Rhinolophus ferrumequinum: one gene and its partners. The protein of the gene in region 3 interacts with the protein of the main gene of each other region in a pairwise test. Links are inferred from orthologs where the notes say so. Each region holds a gene or a part of one and is shown on either strand. Other genes may lie near its edges.

Region 1 (8,040 bases), on a different chromosome or scaffold from region 3:
CTAAACAGTGGCCTGGCAGGACTACTGGGAAGGCCTGACTAGAATGAGGCTGTGACTGGAAAAGATCTAGACCCACCCACTGCCAACTTTCTGCAATGGTGGCAACATTCTATATTTATGCTGTCAAGTATGGCAGCCAGTAGCCACACGTGGCTATAAAACACTTAAAATGTGACTAGTGTGATTGAAGAACTGCATTTTTATTTAATTTTAACTAATTTAAATTTTAATAGCCACATGTAACTAGTGGCTACTGTATTAGTTAACAAAGAGACTGGCATATTGCTGGTGTTAAGGACAGATGGTGGCAGGTCAGAAAGGCACAATTACCAAGCAAGGACGTGGCCATGAAACCAGCCCAGGGGCGATGATGTTCCAACTAGACACCAGAGGTCAACCGGGTGGATCCACTTGATAGGTCTATTGCTTCAGTTGTAAATGACTGAGTTATAGAACCCAAACTTGCCAAAATCAGCCATAAAAAAGAAACTTGCTCTAATTCTGTGCTCCCTATTTAAGCTTGTGATTAAAATTGCTTATAGGAAGAAAGATGCCCAGACCTCTACATGGTATGTAAGGTCCTGCCCTGCGAGACTTCTTATGAATTAATGGATAGGTAGTCTGGCTCATGCAGCCTCTGTTGGGCCCTGGTTAGTATGAACGTGACTCCACGAGACACTATCATGGGGTTTTTTGATGAGAGGACACAAAGGACAGTGAGCCCGTGTCGACTCCGTAGAACCAGAAAGGCCTGGATTCAAACACTGGGCTCAATCACTCACTAACTCTGTGACTGTGAGAAAGTGCCTGAGCATCTCAGTACTAGGCGCTTCTGTTCATGTCATAGGTCAGCTTGTGGCCACAGGGAAAGTGAGATGAGAAGGCCAATTCAGAGCCAGCTTCCATCCTGTGTTTTAGGTTTCAGGCAAAACACTCCATCATGTTCTCATGTACCTAGCCTACCCAAACCACAATTTCATCTAGGGACATTGTCTGCAGAAAGCCATGTAAGCTAGAGACCTGATGGCCTGCAAGTCTGCTAAGGGCTAGGGTGGTGGAAGGAACATCCCCCAGGGAGCCAGGGGTCTCTTACCTTTGCCACAGGCTGCTTTCAAAAAGAATTCGCAGACAGCAGCCCCTGACTCTGTAGAAAGGAGAGAATAGGAGAGGCGTCAATCAAAGCAACGTAGGATTACTACTGGTAACATCTGAAGATGGGGGAGGGAACTGTTCTGGTCTTTAACCCACTAAGGGTTCATGGTATAGGTAACAGACTGGCAAAAAAAATGCAAAGCCAAACCAAGCAAGAAGAAAGTTGCTTATTTCAGTCACTCCCCGTAAAATGAGACATATTGTTGAGAGTAATCATTATTCAGGGCTGAGAGCTTCCTACAATAAAGATGCTTTCAAGGAGTCAAGCGTGTGTGGGGGAAGGAAGGATGGAGCACAAGATCACAGAAATTAATTACACTGTGCTTGGACATTCCAGAGGGCTAATTTAACGTGAGGCAGAAGGAGGGAATGATCTCACAGGAAACACAAGCGAATGTGGACCGAGGACGGACAGGCTCCAGAGAGATGCTATTTGGGCGGGGAGAGCATAATTGAAGATACAGAAGTAGGACTGCTCTTAATATGCAGCAGCAACACACAATTATTAAAGGGGCAGTCTTTTGCTTCCACAGATGCAGCTAGTTCAGATGAGGGGAGCAAGAGAACAGAGGCTGAGTGAGCGCAATGGAAGTCAGTGGGCTCAGGGGACAGGCTGTTCCAATGCGCCCAGGACTACCCCTGCTATCAGAGTAAACCTTCCGGTGTCATAAACAGTTTTCTCTCTCACAGGGCATTTCAGAATTGCTGAAAACCTACAGACAGCATCTCTGAAGGCCACTTCCGTGCCTCTTCTTGCTAACTTGCGAGAGATTCCTTGGTTTCTCGGGAGCAGGCATATTTTGCTGGGAGAGACTTAACGGCTGTGGAACTGGGAGTCCTGGGCTGTCACTCATTTGCATTTCAAAATGTCTCACAAAAAAGAGTTAGGGTTGCTTCCTTCATTCCTTAAAGCCCGAAGTCCCCAGTCCTGGGGACTGGGTGTCAGGCAGACAGAATAAAAGAATATGCCTCCAGGGCAGAACAGACAATTCTTCCCCAAACTAAGAAATGAAGTTCAGGGACAGGGCCTGTGGCCTCCCTGGGCTTTAACACACTGGACTTGATCACTGGCAGGCAGTGCGCTGAGGGCAGCTACCAAGTCTGAGGCCAGTCAGGGCAGCACCCGTGGCTAGTTATGTCCTTGACCCTCCCTAGAAACAGGTCTGTGGGCCCCTCACCACTGCGCCTGCCCTCACAGACTCCAGTATCTGTGGTCCCAGGCTAGAGACAGGTGGGATGGAAAGAGCTGTCCTGCATGGATGGTTCCACAGCCTCAAGCTAGTGCTATCAACAGTGGGGGGAGCGCAGGCAGCTGCCAGGGTATGATGAACGACTCAGAATTGGGGTCCAGAGAAAAAGAGACAGGCTCGCAGGAGTGTGCGTCCTAGGAGAAAGGAGCTTGAGAGTCTAACTGAGGATATCCTACAGAGGAGTTCCTTCCCTCAGCCAGACTCCTCCAGACTCAGCTCTGACGAGAGCAAGAAGAGGGAGCTCGCTCACAGTAGGGGGCTGGAGGGGGGAAGAGAGTTATACGGTATTTTCCTGCAGGCGGGGAGTGTGCGGGGGTGGGGGAAGGATTTTCAACCCAGAGTACCCGCCTTCATTCAAGAATTATTTGAACAGCCAGACTAGGTCTTGCCCTCCTGAAGTTTGTCTTAAACTAGTCCCAGGGGATCAAAGACCCGAGTCCAAGTCCGAGGACCGAGGGGGTGGGGTCATGAGTCCACGGGGTCGGGTCCCAGGTCCGAGTCGGTCGCACCCTTCGCCTGCCCGCCCCGGCCCCACGCTCACTGTCCATGCCGGGGAAGGGGAGCGGCTGCGCCCCGAGCTGCTGCTCCACCGCGATCTCCAAGTCGAACTTGATGTGGTCCACGCTGGCGATGATTTCCTGCATGGCGGCGGCGGCGGCCCCACCGGCCCGGCTCCCCTCAGTACCTCGCCGCTCTCACACCTCTACCTGCCACCCGCCACCGCACACGGTCCTCCTCCGCCTCGCCTCGCCGCCGCCGCCGCCGCCGCCACCGCCGCCGCCGCCCGCGGAATGCCGGGAGCGCCCAGAGCCCGCGCCTGCCTCTCGCCTGTTCAGACCGGACCAATCGAGCGCGGAGTACGGGCCGCTCCGCTAGGCCCTGCCAGCCGCCAGCCAAACCCGCGTCTCACCTCGCGGTCGCGAATAACTTATAGGCGCAGGGAATTCGCAACGTAGACTGCGCCTGCGCGAGGTTTGGCTGGGACTCCGCGCCTCGGAGAGGGGGGCGGGGAAGGGGAGTCAGAAGCACGGAGGGGCGGGTTGGGGACGCGGACCCGGAGTCGGGCGACGCGGCGCGGACATCGGGGCCGTGTTCACTGCCCTGGACTCGGAGTGAGTTCCTATTTGATCCTCACCGGAGCGTGGAACCTGGGCGGGGACAGACCAGAGGGGCAGCGAGTGTCACTGCCGGCGTTGAGCCCGGGGCGTCCCGTGAGGAAACCGAGGTTCTAAAGATCAGTGTGGAGGGGTTGGGTTGGCCTGAGGCTCCAGGAATGTCTGGGGAGGGGCTGGTCCCCCAAGGGAGAACAGCGGCAGCGTATCTCTAATTCAGTGGTTCTTAGCCTAGGGAGATTAATGAACTTGGGTAGGAAAATTACACCTTTATTGTCTCTGTGAAATTGAGCATTTCCTTTCCCGACTAACGAGTAGCGTTAGCAGTGCCCAAAACTCCAAGACGAAGTTGTGATTTCAAGTGGTGATGCGTGTAAAGGATAGTTGGAGATAGAGTATGTGCAACTACTACAAGCTATCATTTCCACTCATTACTACTTTAACAGGATGATAGATAGGATCTTGTTTTAGTGTGTTGAAAAGAAGCTTATATACCTAGTATAGCGTTAAGTTTGTTTTTAAGACATCTGATACCTATCTCGATTTTTTTTTGTTATCTTATGTATTTCATTTAATGCATGTAAACACTTTATTTAATGTGGCTAGTTGAAATTTTAAGATTACATATATGCTACCATTGTTTCTATTGGAGTCTTTCTATTGGAGTCGCAGGCCTCACCAGCCATGGAATGGTGAAGGCCCTCTGCACTAGTGTCTCTAGGGCGCTAGTCAAGAGAGGCCGTCCTTGACCTGGGCTCAAAGCCAGCCCATTTCCACCGCTGGCCAGCCTTGCCCACAGCACTGCTGCAGGGCCCCCAGCATGTCACTCCCTACCTGGGCCTCAGTTATTAGTCTGCCGTCACCTCTGAGGTCTTTCCAGTGGTGATCTGATATAACCAGGCCTTAAAATATTTTCATAATGGTTACTCTGATATTTTTTTATGAAAGAGTTTTAAGTATACAGAGCAGGACCTCTGGCCTAGTACTGTCCAGTAGTAATATAATGTGACCACTATGTAATTTTAAATTTTCAAGTAGCCACATTAAATAAAGTAAAAAAAATTGTGAAATTAATGTTAAATTTTCTTTAGCCCAGTGTATCCAAAATGTTATCATTTCAACATGTAAAATAATTGTGTGTGTGTTTTACATTGATTTTTTTGTGTGCAAAGCCTTTGAAATCTGATGTGTATTTTGTACTTTTAGCATATCTCCAGATTAGCTGTATTCATGTGCTCAGCAGCCACATGTGGCCAGTGGCTACCATATTGGACAGCACAGTTCTAGCCCATTTGTCTACGACTTGCAGAAAAGAAGTGCTTGAGTTAGCTTTCCTGTGCAGAGGCCCAAAATGCCAACAATTTTTTTCCTAATATTAAATGATTAATAGCTGCAATTTTTTGAACACCTATTAACTGTCAGGTATTGTGTTAAAAATATATCATTAGTCCTTATAATCTCGTGCTGAGGCAAGTGGGGTTATCCTTACCTTGCTGCTGAAGAAATTGAGACACAGAGATGTCAAGTAATAGGCATAGACACACAGCTCTGGCTAGGACTCAAACTCAGCTGTGATTTCAGCACCGTGCTCTTTGATCATAGTTTGATAATATCCGTAGCTTATGTCTGTTGAGTGCCTAATGTGCCAGCACTGTGCTGCACACTGTATATCTGAGACTTCAATCATTGCTATAGTGTTGTGTGGGTGACATTATAGTTAACCCCAATTTACAGGCAAGGAGACTGAGGCTAGAGCATTGAGTGCCCAGGGACTCATGGATGGTTGTTTGGCAGAACTGAAGTCAGAACATAGGCTTTCTAACCTCAGGGCTCATGCTTATGACCACTTCTCTGTCTTTCTGCCTTTTTTGGACTATGAACCTGAGTTAACTTCAATATTTTTCTGACCTGTGCCAGGCCCTGGAGGTAAAAGCCAGAGATGGACCTTGTGAGACTCTCCCGGCTCTTTTCCAGCCCCCGCCCCATGGGACTGTCTGTCCTGCAATGCCTTGACCCTCTACGAGCCAGGTGGGCAGGAGCTAGGGAGGGGCCTGCTTGGCTGAGGGCCATGGGGCCGACTGGGCCAACATCAGCAGCCTTCAGCAGCTCGCCCTCTCAGTTGCCCCTCAGCCAGGGGAGCCAGAAGAACACGCACAACCGCAGCTCTGACCTGAGCCAGCCCAGCCCCATGGCCAACCAGGAGGAAGAGGAGGAGGAGAGTTTTGGGACCCTTTCCGATAAATACTCTTCTCGGAGAATGTTCCGCAAATCAACGGCCCAGTTGTATAACCTACGGCTCAGGGAACAGAGTGTTAAAGAAGATGAAGAAAACGAACTGGATCCAAAATCATGGCAAGGCCGGAGAAACACCCCTTACTGGTACTTCTTTCAGTGCAAACACCTGATCAAGGAAGGGAAGGTGAGGGAACTTTTGGATTCTGCTGCTCCTGGCTCCTCCATTGACGGTAGCCCAGTACTTTGTGAGGGGCCACTTTGCTTTCTTAATCTCTAAAGGTTGGGATGCTCACGGCTCTTCTCTCCTCTGTCTTTCCTCACCTGGGTGCTGTACCAGGTGACCCGCCAGCCCCCTGGCTTTCAGTGCCCCCCTTCACTGCAGCTCTTGTATTTGTATCTCCAGCCTGGACTTCCCGGGGACTCCCGATCTGTGTATCCAGTTACCTCCTCACCATCTCCCTTCCACTTACCCACATGGACCTGAAATTTTTGTTGCCAACCTTGTTTTCCCTGCACTTTCTTCATCTTACTAATTGGCAACCGCATTATTCCGTCTGCCCAGGCCAAATGCTTTCAGGTTATTCCTAACTCTTCTCTTTCTCTCACCAACTTCAAAATGTTGTCAGTCCTAACACTTCTCACAATCCCACCCCTGAATGCCCGCCCAGGCTTAGCCTGCTCCTTGCCCTCACAGCTGTTATCCTGGTTACTGGGCTCCCCACTGCTCTTGCCACCTTCTGCCTTGATGTCAGCTCACAGCATAGAACTTTCCAGTTAAAGCAGAAAGCAGATAGCATTAACTCTTCTCCAAAATTTCCAGTGTAGTCAGTGATGTTGAAGGTATTCACTTTCTTAAGTATTGATAATGACATTCGTTTGTTTACAATTCTCTTAGAGGTACATGTTGAAGATTTTATGAATGAAATGATGTCTGGAATTTGCTTTAAAAAATTCTGTTTGGAGGAGAAGTGCAGGGTGTAGATGAAACAAGACTGTCTAAATGTTAATAATTGTTGTAGTTAGCTCTTCTCTCTACTTTTGTGTATATTTGAAATTTTCCGTAATGAAAAGTTGAGAAATAAACAAAGAGAAGCCAGAGTCCTCACAATGGCTTATGAAGCCAGCGAGGTCTGCTACCACCACTCTTCAGCCCTCGCTGGCCTCCTCCCCCATGTACTGTGCTGCAGCCACCCCCGTCTCCTCTCTGCTCCCAGGCGTCCTCCTGCCTCAGGGCCTTTGCTCTGGCCATACCGTCAGATAGCAAAGGGGCTTCTTCCCTCACCTCCTTCACATCTTTGGTCACCTGTCACCCTGTGGATGAGGCCCTGCTTGGCTGGCATATCTAACCCTGAATCTCCTATACCCTTCTGGCACTTACTGCTTCATTGTTGTTCATAGCACATTCCACATACTATGTATTTTTCTTGGTCATCTCATTTGATGTCTGTCTTTCCGCACCAGAGGATAAGCTGCTTGAGGGAGCTCCATCTTGTTCTCAGCTATAGCCTCAGCAGATAGATCTTGCCTGGCACATAGTAGGACTCAGTAACTACTGGTTGAATGCATGGATGAAAAAAAACAAAGGAGTGAAGCCGGGATTTGAAGGGGGATGGTTTAGGGGTGGGGATGGGGCAAAGACAGCCGTGGGCCAAGGGGGTTTGCAGTTGGAGGAAGCTAGTCGCCCAGAGCTGCCATCTACAGCATCTCAAGAGGCTGTTGCTGTGAATGGCCCCCTGGGGTTGAGCCTGCTCACCACACTGCCCAGAACCCAGCCTCTCGTCCAGCTCAGACCCAGGGGACAGGCCTATGGATGGGGTCACCAAGGAAGCAAGGGAAGCACGGGTCCTGAGATTCACAGAACTAACATTTTCTGAGGACCTACTGAGTGCCAGGCCTGGCTTCACAATAGGCCCACAGAGAGGCAAAGACCTCTTTGGCCCCTGCCCTCAAAGAGTTCACCGTCGGGCTGGAGGGAAGGTAGCCCACAGCAGTGGGGTTGAGAGTTCCCATAGGTGGTGGGAAACGAGTGGGCTTTCCTTCCTGGCTACTACAAAGCTCCCTGCTGCAGCACAGGGACCAGCAGGCTAGTGGCACAGGCCACAGGTGTGTGTGTGGCTCCTGGACAGGCCTGGTCTTGGGCTCAGGGAGGATCCGTCAGTCTCAGCCTCCCTCCCTCTGCTGAGGGTCTCTGAGGCCACCCTGAGCCCCCTCCCTTGTTTCCTCCTTCCTCCCCCAGCTGGCTGAGGCCCTGGACCTGTTTGAGAGGCAGATGCTGAAGGAGGAGCGACTCC
Region 2 (8,394 bases), on a different chromosome or scaffold from region 3:
TTGGTTCCCTGGTTTCCCTGGCGACCAGCTCCATCCCTAAGCTCTCAAGGGGCCCAGGTCCCCTCATTAGAATAATGTCAGGTGTGGCTGGAAGGGGCTCCTCTCACCCCATCACCTGGGAATTACAGGGTTCTGGGAGCTCTGTGCCAGGAACCAGGATGAAGACCAAATAAATATTTCTTATATCACAAAACGCAATGTGATAAGACATTTTAAATGTAAATAGCCTCCCTAGAAAAGGAATATGTACTATTGCCCAAATGATAAAACTTAGGGAGACAGAAACAACAAGGGCTGGTTGTTGGATAGCAATCTCTACCTGGCTGTGTGTGACCGCTGGAAGAATGGTGTCTGCTGAAAGATGTCTACTGAAACGACCCCTCTGGCTTTGCCATCTCTACAGCCAAGAGCCATGTGCTTGGTGGGTGGTCATGGCACTGCTGAGACTTGCGCAGCATTTCTGTCTGCAAAACTCTGGGGACAACTGGGAGGGGAGGACAGAGGCCAAGACCCTTCTGTGTCTAGGCCACAGCCGCTCCCACTGCCAGAAGCGCCCATGTGACCTGATGGGGCGGGGGGAGGGGGTGCGCTGCGGGCTGAGGGGCAAGCTGCCCCTCAGGGCCCAGCCTCAGTCATGGTTGGGAAGGGGCCCACTTCCCAGGCAGGAGTGTCTCCTGCACCCGGGCAGCTGGTGGGTCAACAAAGCTCCTGCCAGGTCTCCTGTCACTAGGGCCCCTTCTCCCTCCAGCCCTCCCTCCAGCGACTCAGTTAATTCTGTAACCAGACCCAAGCCTCGCTGAGTCTGTTCAGGGCCAGGAAGAGTCATTCTGGCTTGAGTTTCCAGGAGCAAAGGCCTTGGGCAGCAACGTTGTTCTCACACAAAGGACAGTGCCATCCGCCACCAAGCTGCTCACGAGGTTGGTTACAGGGACCCGTGTCCATAGGGAGAGAAAGACGCCTGTGTTCTAAAGGGACGTGGGAGAAGGGACAAAGGCTTCTGTTGTAGCAAATGCCAGTGTCCAGGCGAAGAGAATTAATCGCCTTTCCTGTTCTACAGAAGGCTGTTGCCAGACCGCAGGAGGCCGTGGGTGAGCCCTGGGGCTGGGTTCAAGTCTGCCTCTGCCCAGAGACCCTTGGGAAATGACTGCACCTTTCTCAGCCTCTGTAAAAGAGGAACCCTGAGGACTGTTGGAGGAGTAAATGAAATTTTGCACGCACACACGCACGCGTGCGCATGTACGTATAGTGTGCAGTGCCCGATGCTCTCGATCAATGGTCATTATTATCAAAGTGACTATCCTTGTGTATCCAAACACCTGCAGCTGGCAGGTAAACTCCTGGTGCAGAAGGTGGACAAAGAAAACAGGCAGATCGCTTTCTGAGCACAGAATGAACTCACTGGCTAATGTACAACTTGGCAAACTTTGCGGGAGTATCGCGTGTTGTTATGTTTATGCCACATCAGGTTCTGTGAATCCATTTGGTTGTAGCAGCCGTCCCAGGACCGCTGCTCCCTTCCAAAGGGCAGCCCAGCATGAGCAGAACTGCCTGGCTTTGCTTTGGACCCATGGCCGTATTAGGTCCCAGCTCAAAACAGCAGGGCTTTTGTTTCTGTTTTTCCACTTTTTCTTCTTTTCCGTTTTGAGAAGGAGCTGGACATGGGAGCACAGTGAGCACCCTTTCCCTGCTGGCTTCATGCATGAGGCTTTTGCCCAGGGAACTGCCTCTCCGTGCAATGTGAGAGGAAGTACTGAACCAACGAAGGGAAACCGCGGCTTCCTCTGTGGTAGGACTGCTGCAGACTATCTGACCAACGCTTTTCACTTTCACGGACTCTTGGAAATTTGCCATAAAATTACATCAGGTTTAAAGTTTTAAAAATCACTGTATGAGCCTCTTTGGTGGTTTACTCAATGGGAACAAATTTTTTTTATTTACTCTGTAATCACACATTTTTATAACTTCCTCCCATTATGGGCCCAGAACAGCACAGTATTCAACCACATTAAACCAAATGAACAACAACAAAACCTAATCAATTCTTAAAATTATGTAACTAATAAGGATTCATACACCTGGACTTAAAAAATGCTTCTGTGAGATTGAACCATCTCTAATAAGACTGACCCTGGAGGTGGGGATGAGTTAATTATTCTGAGATTTAAATAAAGAATGTACCAAGCAAACCAGAGACAATGAAAGCTAAGGGGGTATAAATCTGGAAGCCTAATTTCTAGCAGTATATAAGTTTATGTTTTCCTTTCTGATAGTTGGGTTTTTTTATTGCCTACTTGCCCTAGTATGCTGGCTAGGATTTCCTGTTGCTGTGTATTGGTTTGTTATGATTTGTTATGCCTTAAGTGAAGTTATTTTGATCGAAGGGTGAATTTCTTTATATGAGGGGTTGTGTCGGGATGATGTCATCAGCATTATTGTGCTTATTAATATGAACACATGGAGGAGTGACTATGATGTAATGAACATTTAAACTGTGGTACCAAGAGTGTCCAGTCTGGGCAAGGCTACTCTTGGCTCATCTAAGTAGCTCTCTGAGGCACCAGCTCCTGCCATGGCCAGGCTACTCTCTGCCAGCACTGGTGAAAACTGCAGTGGCCCGTGGAGGAGACCATCCTGCCCGCCAACACTGGCGCCTGTGTTCCACCAGCATCGCACTCCAAAAACAGGGACTTTCAATTTGCGCTGGCAGCTGGGTGTCAGCGCTTGATTGGCTGAGCCAGCTCTCCCGAGAACCAGCAGCTCGTAGAGAGGTGCACCTCAGCTACATCTGGACTTAATCTCTTTCATCTCCCCTTTGCTTGGAACAATGATATACTTATCTATCATTAGAGTATATTTCTTTATTGGCTTATTAAGAGATATTATCCTGTATGCTATTGGCTTGTGACATATTATTATAAGTTGTAATTCCTGCACTGAACCTATGTTAAATAAATTATTGGCAAAGACACTGTCAGTGTCTGAGCATAATTTTGCCATGAACAAAACGCCTATAAAATGTTGAATAAAGTGAAAGTGGATGCATTTGCTTTGTTTCTGATAAAAAGTTTCAATATAACATCATTATGGTTTTAGCGTTAGGGTTTTTGATAGATTCCTTTTAATAGATAGATGATGTTCTATTTTTGTTGATTTAAAATGATTGGGTATTGAATTTTGTCAAATCCTTTTTAAAATTTATTGAAATGATTATATATTTTCCCCCATTCTATTAATATGGTGAATTGTATTAATTTTCAAGTGTTAGTCCAAGTTTGCATTACTGGGATAAACTCCACTTGGCCATAATGTATCACCCTCAGTATATATTGTTAAGTTTGATTTCCTAATGTTTTCTAAAGGATTTTTGCATCAATTTTTATGAAGAATATTAATTATTCTTTATTTTTTGTGAGGTATTTTTATTAGAGTTATGTGTGCCTTATTAACAAACTGGGACGTGTCCAGCCCCTATTTTCTTAAAATTTTAATGTTGGTGTTACTTCTTCCTTATACATTTGATGGAATTCACCATTGAAATCATTTAGGGCTGGAATTTTCTTTGTGAGGTTTTTTTAATAACAAATTTAATTGATTAAATATAAATATATAATATATAATATAAACCATATTTGGTCATGATACGTAATCACTTTATGTATCACTGGATTGTTTTTGCTAACATTTTATAGCAGTGTTAATATTGGCTGCATAGAACCGGTTAGGAAGTCACTTTTCTCTGTTTTCTGGAAGAATTTGTGTAACATGGGTATTAGTTTCTCCTTGTTTGGAACCATTTACTAGTGACACCATCTGGGCCTGGAGTATTCTTTGTAAGAAGGTTTTAAATTATGAAGTCAATTCCTTTAGCAGATAGTATGCAGATTTTCTAAATATTCTTGTTCATTTTTGGTAATTTGTGTTTTTCAAGGAATTTGTGGAACTTATCTAACTTGTCAAGTTTCGTAATGTTTGTCTTTTAAAAACCTATGGAATCTCTATACTGAATTCTTTTTTCATTCCTCATATTGGTACTTCGTGCTTCTGCTTCTTTTAAAAAAAATTGTGGTAGAAGACCCGTAAGCTAAAATTTACCACCTTAACCATTTGTAAGTGTAGACAGAGTTCCGTGCAGTAAATACACTGGCCCTGTGGTCCAACCGTTTCCATCCTGTGAAACAAGCCCTTTCCAGTTACCAGTATCTCCTCTCTCCCCAGCCCCGCCGCCACCAAGCTGCCGCGTCGGTGATATTGACGCCCGCCTCCCTCCGAGACCAGCCCACGCTAACGCGCACTGACGTCTTTCCCAACGCCCTCTTGGGGAAATAAAAACGTAATCCCTCTGCTTCCGTTTGTCAAGTGGAAAGAATGACAAATGGTTCACACCTCACAGCGCAGTGAGGTAACTGAAGTACAAGAAAAACACGAGAAAGGGGGTCCTGATCCAAAAACAGCCATTTCTGTCGCCCATAAATGGGTTTCCGACAACTGTCCCCTGGCCTCGCTCCCCGTCTCAGAGTCGGGAAGCAGCCCCGGCGCCGGGTCCCCTTGCCCCGCCCACACACCAGGCCCGGCGCTGCTCCCGGTGCTCAGCTCCCGGGTTAGCGCAACGGCCACCGGCGCGACAAGTGACACGCGCCCGCGCGGCGCGCTCGCCCCAGGCCCGGGCCTCTTCGCGAAGGAGCTGAGCGCCTCGCGCCCGCGCGGGCGGAGGACGGTAGCTCCACTTGTCCGGACAGCGGAGCGCATGAAACAAACTGGGATGTGTCCAGCCCCTATTTTCTTAAAATTTTAGTGTTGGTGTTACTTCTTCCTTATACATTTGATGGAATTCACCAGTGAAATCATTTAGGGCTGGAATTTTCTTTGTGAGGTTTTTTTAAATAACAAATTTAACTGATTAAATATAAATATATAATATGTAATATAAACCATATTTGGTCATGATACGTAATCACTTTATGTATCACTGGATTGTTTTTGCTCACATTTTATAGCAGTGTTTATGCTGGCTGCATAGAACCGGTTAGGAAGTAATTCACTCGTCTCTTTTCTGGAAGAATTTGTGTAACATGCGCATGCGCGGGGCCCCGGCCCCGGGGTGGGGCCTCCTCCGCTGACGTCCTGCTCGCACTGCGCCTGCGCGGGCCGAGGGCTGTGGCTCCGGCTCGTGGTAGGCACCGTCCGCCCCTCCGCGCTGACTGTGTGGATCGCGCAAAACTCAGCGGACAGACGCGGCTGAGGTAGGTTTCCCGTGGGCAGCTCGGGCGGCTGAACCGCACGTAGGCAGGACATGCCAGGTGAGAGGGCCTCGCCCGACGTGTGCGTGAGCGGGCTGACCGAGGCCTCCGCCCCCTTCCGAGACCACCCGTGTCTTCCCCGCGAGCTCGGCGCCCCGCCCCTTTCCGCAGCCACGCCCTTCCGCAGCCACGCCTCCAGGCACGCCCACCTCCCGGCGCGCCCTCTTGTCAGGCGTGTCAAACCCTCGCCCGCCCTAGGCCGATGTCACACTCCCTTCCCCGCTTACTCCCGGTGCTGCGTCAGCGCCCCGCCCCTCCCTTTACGCTCTCCACTTTCACCCCAATCTCGTTGGCCACCTGCCCCTCGTGATCCAGGGGTCGCTCCCCCCCACAGTGCACGGAGTCTGCGTCTCTTTGCGGTCCGCTCACCTGGCCCGCCCCGCTCTGGCCCCGCCCCATCAACCCGGCCCTCCCAGTCCTTGGCCGGCCCTGTCCCATCCTGGTTCCAGTGCAGTTTTACAATGAAAATGCAACGTATGTATATTAGTATTTGTAACCACGGATGTCACAAAATTAAGTATTAGGTCCTGATTTACAAAAGAAGCACTCATTTTAAGCAGACTTGCTATGTAATTGAGAAAACATCTTAAAACGTACTGCAGATTACACTGTCACTGGAAAAATAAGAATTGAGAATGAGAAGGAAAAGCCTCTGGAAGATGCAAACCTTGGCTCCTGTTAGTGGAAACACTTTAAAGCTCCAGGTAGGGAAGTTTAATTGGAATTAAAGCTAATAAGGTTCCAAGAAAAGATTTGACATCGATTTGTTTTAAATCAACCCTGTGATCTGACAGAAAACAGATTTCAGCCAGTGATTAAGAGTAACACCTTGCAGACTAGTGAAGAAAACACATACTTCTTTGAAGTTCATAAATTTTAAATGCTTTCCATTGTTTTTGTAAAGAATTGGGTTTATAAATTTTATTTCTGTTCCATTCATTACACATAACACATTTGAGTTCTATTTGGTAGAGGACCTTTATCACGGACCTTAGAAGCTTAATTATTATGCAATGTAATGAAGCATTTTCTCATTCTCTCTTTTAAAGCAGAAATGGAGAGGAAAATGAAACATTAACAGTGGCAGCTATGCGGCACATCCTAAGAGAACTATGGCAACATCAGATGACTGCCCCGGAAGTGAATTGCAGGTAAGTTCAGTTCTGGTGGTGAGAACATGAACATTACAGAGCTGAGATCATCCACAGTGATGGCACTTTCGTTGGGTGTATGAACGTGGCCACCAACCACATTGTAAGCATTTCCTAGGAATCTAGGGTTCCGTTTTTGGTACCTGTGCTGTTTAAGCAAGCACATTTTCTTAGTTGTTCAATTAAGTTCCAGGCATAATCCATTAAAGGCAGGTCGAACACCTTAGAAAAGATTTATGTATTCATGCTGCTTTTCTGCCTGGGACACGTAGAACTTCATTCAAGTTAGCAGTAAAATTTCAAGGACTGTTGATTAGGTAAAATTAAAAACTAAAGGAATACTCAAGTAACTTTTTTTTTTTTTAAGATTTTTAATTTTTTTTATTGGGGAAGGGGTACAGGACTTTATTGGGGAACAGTGTGTACTTCCAGGACTTTTTTCCAAGTCAAGTTGTTGTCCTTTCAGTCTTAGTTGTGGAGGGCGCAGCTCAGCTCCATGTCCAATTGTCGTTGCTAGTTGCAGTGGGCGCAGCCCACCATTCCTTGCGGGACTCGAGGAATTGAACTGGCAACCTTGTGGTTAAGAGCCCACTGGCCTATGTGGGAATCGAACCGGCAGCCTTCAGAGTTAGGAGCACGGAGCTCCAACCGCCTGAGCCACCGTGCTGGCCCACATTTTTTTTTTTTAATTAAACCTTTCCATGTCTGTGATGTTAATTTTAACATTTCTTCTTTTCATTCTAATGATCTAATTTCATTTAAGTTTTTATATATAGCAATTTTATTTATATTTGGGTCATTTTATTAATCTTTCTTAAAATTAATGATAAAATGTTTTAATTCCATAGCTGTTTCATTTTTCTTTTGAGAAATATAAAAGATATTGGAACATTTACAGAATAATATTGGAAATACCCAGTACATATTATACAGAAGTGAAAATTTGTTAATGTTTTGTCATGTTTGCCTCAGAATACACACACACACACACACTAAACCATAAATAACATTTATTCCCCAACCCCAGTCCCATTTTTCCTCTTTCTCCACAGGCAAACGCTATGAAAATTATGAATTGATCTTTGTGCTCTGCACCATTTTTTATACTTTTAGACCATAAGGTCTAGGCATCGCTTAAGTGGCATCATATTCTGTGTGTCATCTGCAGCTGGCCTTTTGCACTAATGTTACTTGGGGGATTTTTCCTTGGTGTGTGTGTGGAGCTGGTTCAGTCCTAAAGGGTGCTCCTAGAGCGTGTTCCTTATGGGAACAATATGTATTAATACATAGGTCTGTGTACACTGGGTATACACCACATTTTCTGTATTTCCCTGTTGTTGGACACTTACATTGTTTCCAGTTTTTTCTATTCCAAAGAGTGCTGCAATGACCGTCCATGTACATGTCTCCTTGTGCACATGTGCTCTAGGGTGTATACCCAGTAATGGCATTGCAGGGTGGAAGGGATTGTATCGTTTCAGTTTTACTAGATAATGATCGATCGTTCTCCCAAGTGGTCTACCAGTTCACAGATCTGCCAATAGTCCACAGTGCTTGCTAACACTTGAGAGCATCAGACTTTTTCAGTCAATCTGATAGGTTAGAAATGGTACCTTGTTATTTTAGTTTTCTGATTACTTGTGAGTCATGAATTGACTCTTTATCGACTTACTGTCAATTAAGTCAATATTGAAGTAGTATTTCAATAATATTTGTGTTCATCCTGGTTATACCACCCTCCAGTACAGAAGAGATGTCTGATGGCCACAATTTGTGTTTTACCTCGTTTTTCCCCTTGATCATTTCTTTTAAGGTTTTACTAATTTTATCTTTTCAAAGAACCAGTTTGTCTTTGTTGATTTTCTCTTTGTTCACTTATTTGCTTATTTCTGCCTTAATCTTTATTTCCTTTGTTCTATTTGGGTTTAATTTTCTCTTTTTTTGGC
Region 3 (8,351 bases):
ATACTCAGGGAAGGTAGATGGCGTCTGTCTAGTAAATTTAATCAAGCTGTATATTGAGGAGTTAAAATTAAAGAATGTTCAATCAAAAAATACGCTTCAATTATACCTTGTTATCAATTAATTTCTTGACCAACTGAAAAACAGGGCCTGAAGAACTATTCATTAATTTCATAACTATAAATTACAAAAATCTTCACTTTGGGGTTGAGATTAGCATTAGAAACTGGACTGAATAAATTTCAAAACAAAATGATAAAATCAGACAATATAGCAATCAGTTAAAAAAATGTCTTCCAATATAGGAGATATTTTTAAGTGAGGAAGAATACTCTACTAAAGTATTAGGTAAATACCTATTTTTCACTTCTCAATTCTTCCTTCCCTTCACTTGTTTTTTAAGTAACAGCTTTGAGATATAATTCATATGTCACACAATCCACTCATCTGAAGTGTACATCTCAAGGGTTGTTAGTATGTTTACAAAATAGTGCAACCATCACAACTAATTCCAGAACATTTTCATCACCCCAAAAAGAAACCTTGTACGTATTAATATTCACTCCCCATTTTGCCCTGTACCCAGTCCTGGCAAAGACTATCTTCTTTCATGGATTTACCTATTCTGTCCATTTAATACAGAATCATATAATATGTAGTCCTTTGTGACTGGCTTCTTCCACTTGGCATGTTTTCAAGGTTCACCCATGCTGTAATACACGAGTACTTCATTCCTTTTTACTGCCAAATAATATTCCACTGTATAAATATGTCACGCTTTATCTATCCCTTCATTATTTGATGGACACAAGTTATTTCTACTTTTTGGCTATTATGAATAATGCTGCTATGAGCATTCATGTACAGCAGGTGCTCAAATAACATCCTTTCGTTCAACATACTTTTGTTATGTTGATGAGATGCTGTAGGAACATAACTGGCTTATTATCAGTGGTAAAATTGGTCTCCTTTTAGGTAGTTTCACTTAAAATCGCAGAACCTATCAATGAAGTGAGGACTGTACAAGTTTTTGTGTGGGTCTGTTTTCATTTCTCTTAAGGTATTTATCTAGGAGTGGAATTCCTGGATCATATGGTAACTCTCTGTTTAATCTTTTAAGAAACTGCCAGATTTTTGCCAAAACAGCTGCACCATTTTACAATCCCACCATCAGTGTATGAGGGTTCCAATTTTTCCATATCGTCACCAACACCTTTTACTGTCTTTTTTATTACAGCCAAATATTTTAAACCCAAATATTCTTTAAAAGCTGTTTTTTTAACCACCTCTTCCCCATTATGCCACACTAAAGAATCTGGTCAGAGCAATGTTAGCATATCCATGGACTTGTATGTGTGATTTGTTTTGAAATTTAGAATAAGTTTCTGGTTCCCTGTACATGTTTTGTAAACAATATTCATACCTTTCTAGTAATCTAATGAAGGGAATCATTAATTCCAGTTTGAATTTAAATAAATACAAAACATTGAAATTACAACCAAAGTACATTATACCATCAGAAATATTAATAAATTGTGAAAGTAGTAAGAGATTACTTTCAAAAATTTTAACTTAAAAATTTTTTTTGGTATCCTAACGGTTATACTGCATACTCCACTGTTGAGCTCACTTAAGGGTAAAAACTTACTTAATAGTGAAAAGTATTTAAACCCCTACTTCAAAAACTTCGTCCCCTATGCTACTAGCAAATAAACAGACTGGTTTAAGAATAGGTCCTGCAATAGGAATAAACTGCAAAGGATTCATTGTCTTCCAACCTATATTCAAAACGCTGTAATCAAACCAAACCAATGATTGTAATGAAATAATTATGGTAATGTGTTGCTAGAATCACTGTTTCATACAACCTGTGTTAAGTATCAACAAGAAATTTCACTAACCTGGCATTCTCTTCTTCTGGCCTTTCAACTTCATTTTCATCTACCAAAAAGAATACATAAATAAATAAATACAATTAACAAACAAACTACTCTTAAAGAAACCAGTATTATGAAAATCTGAAGTGATCATCACAAGCACTAACCTAGGTCCTTTGCCAAATCACTGTGCACATGCACGTCCCATGGGCCTATAAGCACATCCAAAGTTAGATCACCTTATAATGACTTAACAAGATATGTCTTTCATGAAAAATAAAAATAAAATCAGACTTGACTTCTATAAAAATAAACTTAACAGGTATTCAAGACTTCTAGATCTTTGTAAAAGAAACCCTATACATTTACATTCTAAAGTATTCCTAATGCTAAATCTTTCCACTAAAGATACTTATTTTACAGGTTGATGAAAATCCAAGTTTGTCAGTCACATCATCAAGGAGCTAGCCGCATAGTGGCCAAACGTTTTTCACTACACTATTCTAAAGACAATCAAGAATATACATTTTAGACGAGGAACAAATATTAACTTTCAAATCTAATATCGATTAACAGGCAAGAAGGGACTATGGCTTAATAAAAATTAAACAGATGTCTAAAAAAGTCCCTTTCAAAAAGTACAAGATGCACTAAATTTATTTCGAGAAAAGAAACACGAGATGACAGTGAAAACTATAAACCTAAGGGACACATGGTACTTCTATAGTGTGGTTTAAAGAGCAATCTCTTAAATAAGAAAAACTTCACCTTAATACAGGAGACATTCGGGGTTCTCTTTATGGGCCATAATGTATTCCATCTCTTTCTCTCTCTTTTAATTAATTATTTTTAAAGCACGACTTTCAGACAAGGAGGTACCCTTGCAGGTGCATTCCATACAAACTGACCATCAAGAAACAAGACGTTAGTTTTATGGCATCGACTTTATTTAGCTATTATTACAGAATGATTGTTTCTGAAAAAAGCGACAGGAAGGGCATCCTACAGCCAAGGGGTAAGAAGAGACACAGCGACACTACTCAATCGATATAAAAAACAAGAGGAAAGAGCGCGAAGGCGAGGCGGCCGAGAAGCCCCGGCGGGGAGGCGGGAGAGACTGGAGGCCTGGCCCCGCGACCCCGGTCGGATCCCCGCCGCCACGATTCGGGTGAGTGTTGGGAGCCCTTCGCAGGGCGAGAGGAGGCCGAGGGGGCGGGGAGACGCGCACACCGCGCTCCGCCTGACTTAGGCCGGACGAGAGGCCCCAGACGGCAGCGTGAGAGGCCTGGGACGCCGACCGTTTGTGGGCCAGGAGGGGAGGCCTGAGAGAACCCAGGAGAGAGAGAAAGGACAGGAAGTTCCGTACCGCCATAGAGCCACTCTTCCTCCTCATCCCCTCCGGTCCCGCCGCTCAGCTCCGACACTAGGCGCTCGACCTCGCCGGCCGACATGGCCGCCCCGAGCACAACTTAAAGGCGGCGGTCAACAGACCCCTCCAACCCCTTCCCCAGCCTCGCTGCCCGACGGTGCGAGAGGGGCACGAACCCGCCGGCGACCAAAGAAAGGCTAAAACTCCAATCCACTGGAGGCGGCCACAGCGCCGGAGGCGGCAAAGAAGTCTCCGATATTGACCCGCCTGCGCACGCGCAGCAGCAGACGAGCGGCGCGAGGTCTTTAGGTGAATTCGCTTCCGCAGAGGCGGCCAGCTGGGCCTCTTTGCGCGTGCGCACCGTAGTTGGCCCCGCCCCTATGGAATCCCGCTTAGCCTTTTTAGCGTTGATTTCTCCCTGGTAAACTAGGGTTTCCCTCCCCCAGCCGTTTTCTAATAACCCATATTGCCTTTCCCTGTGAGTACTCCATTGTTCCCTTCTGCCCTTGATGCTTTATTTTCTCAACCATTTTTGCTGTCTTTTAATTTTCTGAAAGGCCTTATTTTATTCTCTACGTGTTGTATCACCCTTGATACAGAATCGTTAACTTCAGTCCCTTTTTTCTCACTAAATAGAGAAGAAATCATAATTCATGGCCATTTTCTTGAAAAATTAATTTTAACAGCAAACAAAAATTTTAACATATAGGTAATGCATTCTCCTTGTTAAAATAAAGCATTATAATTAAGTTCAAAGATCCCCTCATCTACTACGTTCCTTTCTGGAGGCAGCCCTTGTTTTTTTGTGTGTGTGAATCATTCTGAAACTTTTTATACATTTACTTCATGTAGATTGTATTGTTTTTGTGGGAGAAATTGAGGTTAACTAGTCTTAAAGGATACAATACTGTATGTATTCTGCAGATCGCTTTTTTTTTTTAACTCAACAGTGTGTTAAAGATCCTTGTGTGTTAGTACATATGTGTCAAACTATGTCCATTTTTAAGTGCTTCATAATATTCTATAGCATAGCTCTCATAAAATGATGTACAATTGCTTTCAACTTTTCACTTTAACACACAAAAAACCCTACAATGAAGACCTATGTCCATGACTTCTTGCACATTTGTATAATACAAGTGTATATGTCATAAAGTATGTGCAGTTTTTAAGTCAATAGATAATGCCAAATTTTCAGGCCACTTTTGAGAACACATCCTTCAAGAAGATGACACATGATGGGTCAAAACTGGTATTCTCGTTCTCAACTATAACATAGTTGCATGACCTCAGGTAATCAACCTTTCTATGCTTCAGTTTTCTCAGCTATAAAATGGGAAATTTGAATGAGATGATCTCTAAAGTCCCTTTTAGTTATGATGTTTTCAAATAGGACACTCACTTTTCAACGGAAAGAAATCTATTTTAATTACAAAAATCAATATGTTTACATACTCTCTAATCAGTAAATATTGTTTTTTCATTTATTTGGCAATTACTGACATCTGCTGTTTAAGAACTTGGAAAATAAAGACATGAGTAAAACATAGCCCCTACCCTCAAAGAGCTCTGTAGAGAAAGGGTGATAAACAACTAACTCTCCTACAAGGGGAAAAGGAGACTATGATACAATAGAAGCACATACAAAGTATTTACATTCCACCAATATGACACCATTTTGTATTATTTAAACAAATCATATGGTTTTAATCCCCTTTACCTTTTTGTTTTGTTTTGTTTTCTATAATTTTTTTTAATTTTATCGGGGAATATTGGGGAACAGTGTGTTTCTCCAGGGCCCATCAGCTCTAAATCGTTGTCCTTCAATCTAGTTGTGGAGGGCGCAGCTCAGCTCCAAGTCCAGTTGCTGTTTTCAATCTTTAGTTGCAGGGGGCACAGCCCACCATCCCATGTGGGAATTGAACCAGAAACTTTGTTGTTGAGAGCTTCCGCTCTAACCAACTGAGCCATCCGGCTGCTCCAATCCCCCTTACCTTTGAACACTCTTCTACCTGCTATTCCCAGTCTCCCGAATCTGTTTAGGATAATCTCTTGCATCCTTCTGAACTCTGTTGCAACATAATCAACTTCATGAATTCTTTCCTGAATTCCACTTTATCTCCTCCCATATTTTTATTCATTCAATAAATATTTATGGAGGCTCCACAAGTGTCAGGAACTCTTCTAGGCTACATATTAATAGATTCGACAGTGAGTAAGACAAAGTCCTCCTCTCATGAAGCTTTCATTCTGAGGAGACAACCACTAAACATATGTCACGCGGTGATAAGGATTATAAAGAAAAGTAAGCAGAATAGGAAGACCCAGAGTGGGGTAATGAAGAGGGATAGGGTGCAATTTTATATCGTGTCAGGAAAAGGCCACTCTGATAAGGTGATACAAGAGCAGAGGCATGAATGGAAAGAAAAAGTAAGCTGGGTAGATTGCTGGATGAAGTCCTATCAGACAGAGGGAGTATGGAAGCGCAAAGGTTCTGGGACAACAACATACTTAGTGTGTTCGAGGAACCCCAAATGTAGCTGAAGAGGGAGGGAGGAAGAGGCTGTAGATGAGGTCAGAGTTATTGGGGAGCGGGCAGGGCAGAGCTAATCACTCCCTTGTAGACCTTGTGCTGCTTCTATGGAATGTGTCCATCACAACATATAGTAATGATTTGACTACATATCTGTATTCCTAAGACTGTTCATTAGACCAAATCCTCCCTCAAATGGAGCGTTTTTTTAATCACTCTCATTCCTGGTATGGTGCCTAGCACTTAGTAGATCTTCTTGGCCTTTACTCACAATAATGGAGTGAAGGTTTTACATTCTCTTTGGGAGTATCATAAGACAATCACTTACAGTCTTGTCTATTTATCTTTCTGTTTATCATTCCGTGAGTGTATAATGAACTTTGGTGGTTTCATGGGAGAACCAATCACCATTTGCTGAGAAGACTTTTTCTCCTTTCAGCTGCCTGAAATGAGCTCGTATTTCAAGGGATTACTTAAACAGAACTGAAGAATTACTGAATAATAACTGATGCATCAGAATTGCCTTCATGGTGGAGGTAGTATTTGATTTAAGCTTTGAACAGGAGGATTTCCACAAGCAGAGAAGCCCATAAATCACTAATAACCAGTCTTAAAAGGCCTCCTCCTTTCTTGCTTCCAAATTGAATTCCTTGCCTGGATAAACTTCCTTAGCTAAAGGTATCTTTATCTTCCTACTCACCAGGGGAGACTTCAAAGAGAGGTAGCTTGATGATACTGTGTAAAATTATGACCTTATCCAACTACAATACTCCATACATTCTGATTATATTTGTGTCCCATTTTATTTTATTTTTCTGTGATCTGTTGGTTCCTGGCAAAACAACAATAACAACAAAGCAACAGTTTTAATATATCTCTAAGAAATACCAAAAGGGAATGCTTAGCAGATGATTAAAATGATGACAAGAGTTAAAACTCAAATAACAGTGCTATGTTCAGTATCTAGCAGATAGTGAGTACTCATAAATGTGTTTTGAATGAATATGTCATTTAGGCCCAACTATGCTATTTGCTGCAAACTTTAAATATGTTGCTTAAATCTCAATATTATTCAGTTTCCTCATCAGTAAAATGATATATTAATATGACATTTTATATTCACTTCTTGGGAAGATAACAAAGCTAAAATTAGGTTTCAAAAATGTCAAAGCATTAGACCAGTTAGAGGCAAGCAGGTAGTGGGTTATGGTGTAGGCCTTTTGTCCTTTCAACAACCTGAATAACCACACACGTGTAAAGGTTTCCTTCTTCTCTAGATACTTCCATCAGGAATTAAGCCTCAATTATCCATCTTCCTATATATTTTGACATATTTTAACACTAAATTTTATATTGCTTGCTGTTTCTGGAAAATTGTATCATCTCCTCTTATAGCTACACTGTTATGTAAACTGCACACTCCTTAATGATGAAAACATTTTTTTTTCTGTAGTTACCAGATCCTGTTTTACAATGTCAAGCACATAGAAAGTGGTTAGTAAATCCTTATGTTGATGATGCATATGGAGGACTTAGAAATGAGGTGCAGAGAGATATGTTTGGTTTTATGAGGAATGGGAAATAATTGTTGGCTATTTTGAGCACAGAAGTACAAATCACATTTAAATGAAGTATATCTGATTGTCTTAAGCATGTAATTTTAGCAGGACTTAATTTGACTCTGCCATAACATCTGAGAACAAGAAGTGGAAGGAAGGAAATTCTGACACATATTATAAAATGGATGAACCTTTAAGGATATTACGCTAAGTGAAATAAGCCAGTCACAGAGGGACAAATATTGTGTGATTCCACATACACGAGATATCTAGAGTAGTCAATTCATAAAAACAGAAAGTAGAATGATGGTTGCCAGGGGTAGAGGGAGGGAGAAATGGGGAGTTGTTTAATGTACATACTGTAGAGTTTCAGTTTCACAAGATGAAAAAATTCTGGAGATTGGTTGCACAACAATGTGAAAATACTTAACACTGCTGAATTGTACCCTTAAAAATGGTTAAAATGGAATTTTATGTTATGTGTATTTTGTCACAATTAAAAAAAACAAACAGACAAATAAACAAAAACATGGCCCAACTGAACTCTGCACATTTATTCCCCATTCTGTTTCTCTTTTGATTTTCCAAATCTCAGTGACTATCATTTACTAGTCACTGAGGCAGAAAAGTGGGCATTAATCAGAAATTTTCCCTCGCCATCTCTCTGTCAATCCGGTAACCAGGATTTTGAGCTCTATCTCCTTAACATTTATTTAGACACCCCTCATTGTCTATCCCTTTACTGGTATGCTTATCTACTCTGGCCCAAGTATTTGCTGTTACTATTTCCTAACTGTTCTCCCAGCTCAAAATCTTACTGCGTTCAAATTATTGTCTGTGTCCTTAATAGAATATTTTTTTCTAAACTCTAGATATGGACAAATTATTTTCACTCCTAAAAATAATAGTTCCCCCTTGGCTGCTACTACGTAGAATAAGAAATAAGACTAACCCTGATCTAGTCACTTCTTTTCTAGTTTTAGCTCCTATTTCTTCTTGGGTCTCTTCATACAAGA

Evidence for each region.
Region 1: the proteins of FIP1L1 (region 3) and CPSF4 interact in binary tests that used the Homo sapiens proteins (3 or more experiments, as listed by UniProt). The two-hybrid records come from large-scale screens. The link is inferred for Rhinolophus ferrumequinum from reciprocal best matches to the Homo sapiens genes FIP1L1 and CPSF4.
Region 2: the proteins of FIP1L1 (region 3) and PRMT2 interact in a two-hybrid assay, tested with the Homo sapiens proteins (2 studies listed by BioGRID and IntAct). The link is inferred for Rhinolophus ferrumequinum from reciprocal best matches to the Homo sapiens genes FIP1L1 and PRMT2.

The regions. Positions count from the first base shown.
Region 1 is NC_046290.1:89,659,749-89,667,788, reverse strand, and holds the start of CPSF4 (cleavage and polyadenylation specificity factor subunit 4), read right to left. Parts: upstream 3,199-8,040; 5' UTR 3,047-3,198; coding exon 2,944-3,046; intron 1,145-2,943; coding exon 1,094-1,144; intron 1-1,093. Other genes in the region: PTCD1 (pentatricopeptide repeat-containing protein 1, mitochondrial), read left to right, coding at 5,454-5,933, 7,986-8,040. UniProt on the Homo sapiens protein: Component of the cleavage and polyadenylation specificity factor (CPSF) complex that play a key role in pre-mRNA 3'-end formation, recognizing the AAUAAA signal sequence and interacting with poly(A) polymerase and other factors to bring about cleavage and poly(A) addition.
Region 2 is NC_046285.1:109,210,006-109,218,399, forward strand, and holds the start of PRMT2 (protein arginine N-methyltransferase 2), read left to right. Parts: upstream 1-5,083; 5' UTR 5,084-5,240; intron 5,241-6,346; exon of another isoform or gene 6,347-6,349; 5' UTR 6,350-6,409; coding exon 6,410-6,448; intron 6,449-8,394. UniProt on the Homo sapiens protein: Arginine methyltransferase that methylates the guanidino nitrogens of arginyl residues in proteins such as STAT3, FBL, histone H4. Acts as a coactivator (with NCOA2) of the androgen receptor (AR)-mediated transactivation.
Region 3 is NC_046288.1:15,958,923-15,967,273, reverse strand, and holds the start of FIP1L1 (pre-mRNA 3'-end-processing factor FIP1), read right to left. Parts: upstream 3,550-8,351; 5' UTR 3,326-3,549; coding exon 3,241-3,325; intron 2,087-3,240; coding exon 2,042-2,086; intron 1,939-2,041; coding exon 1,899-1,938; intron 1-1,898.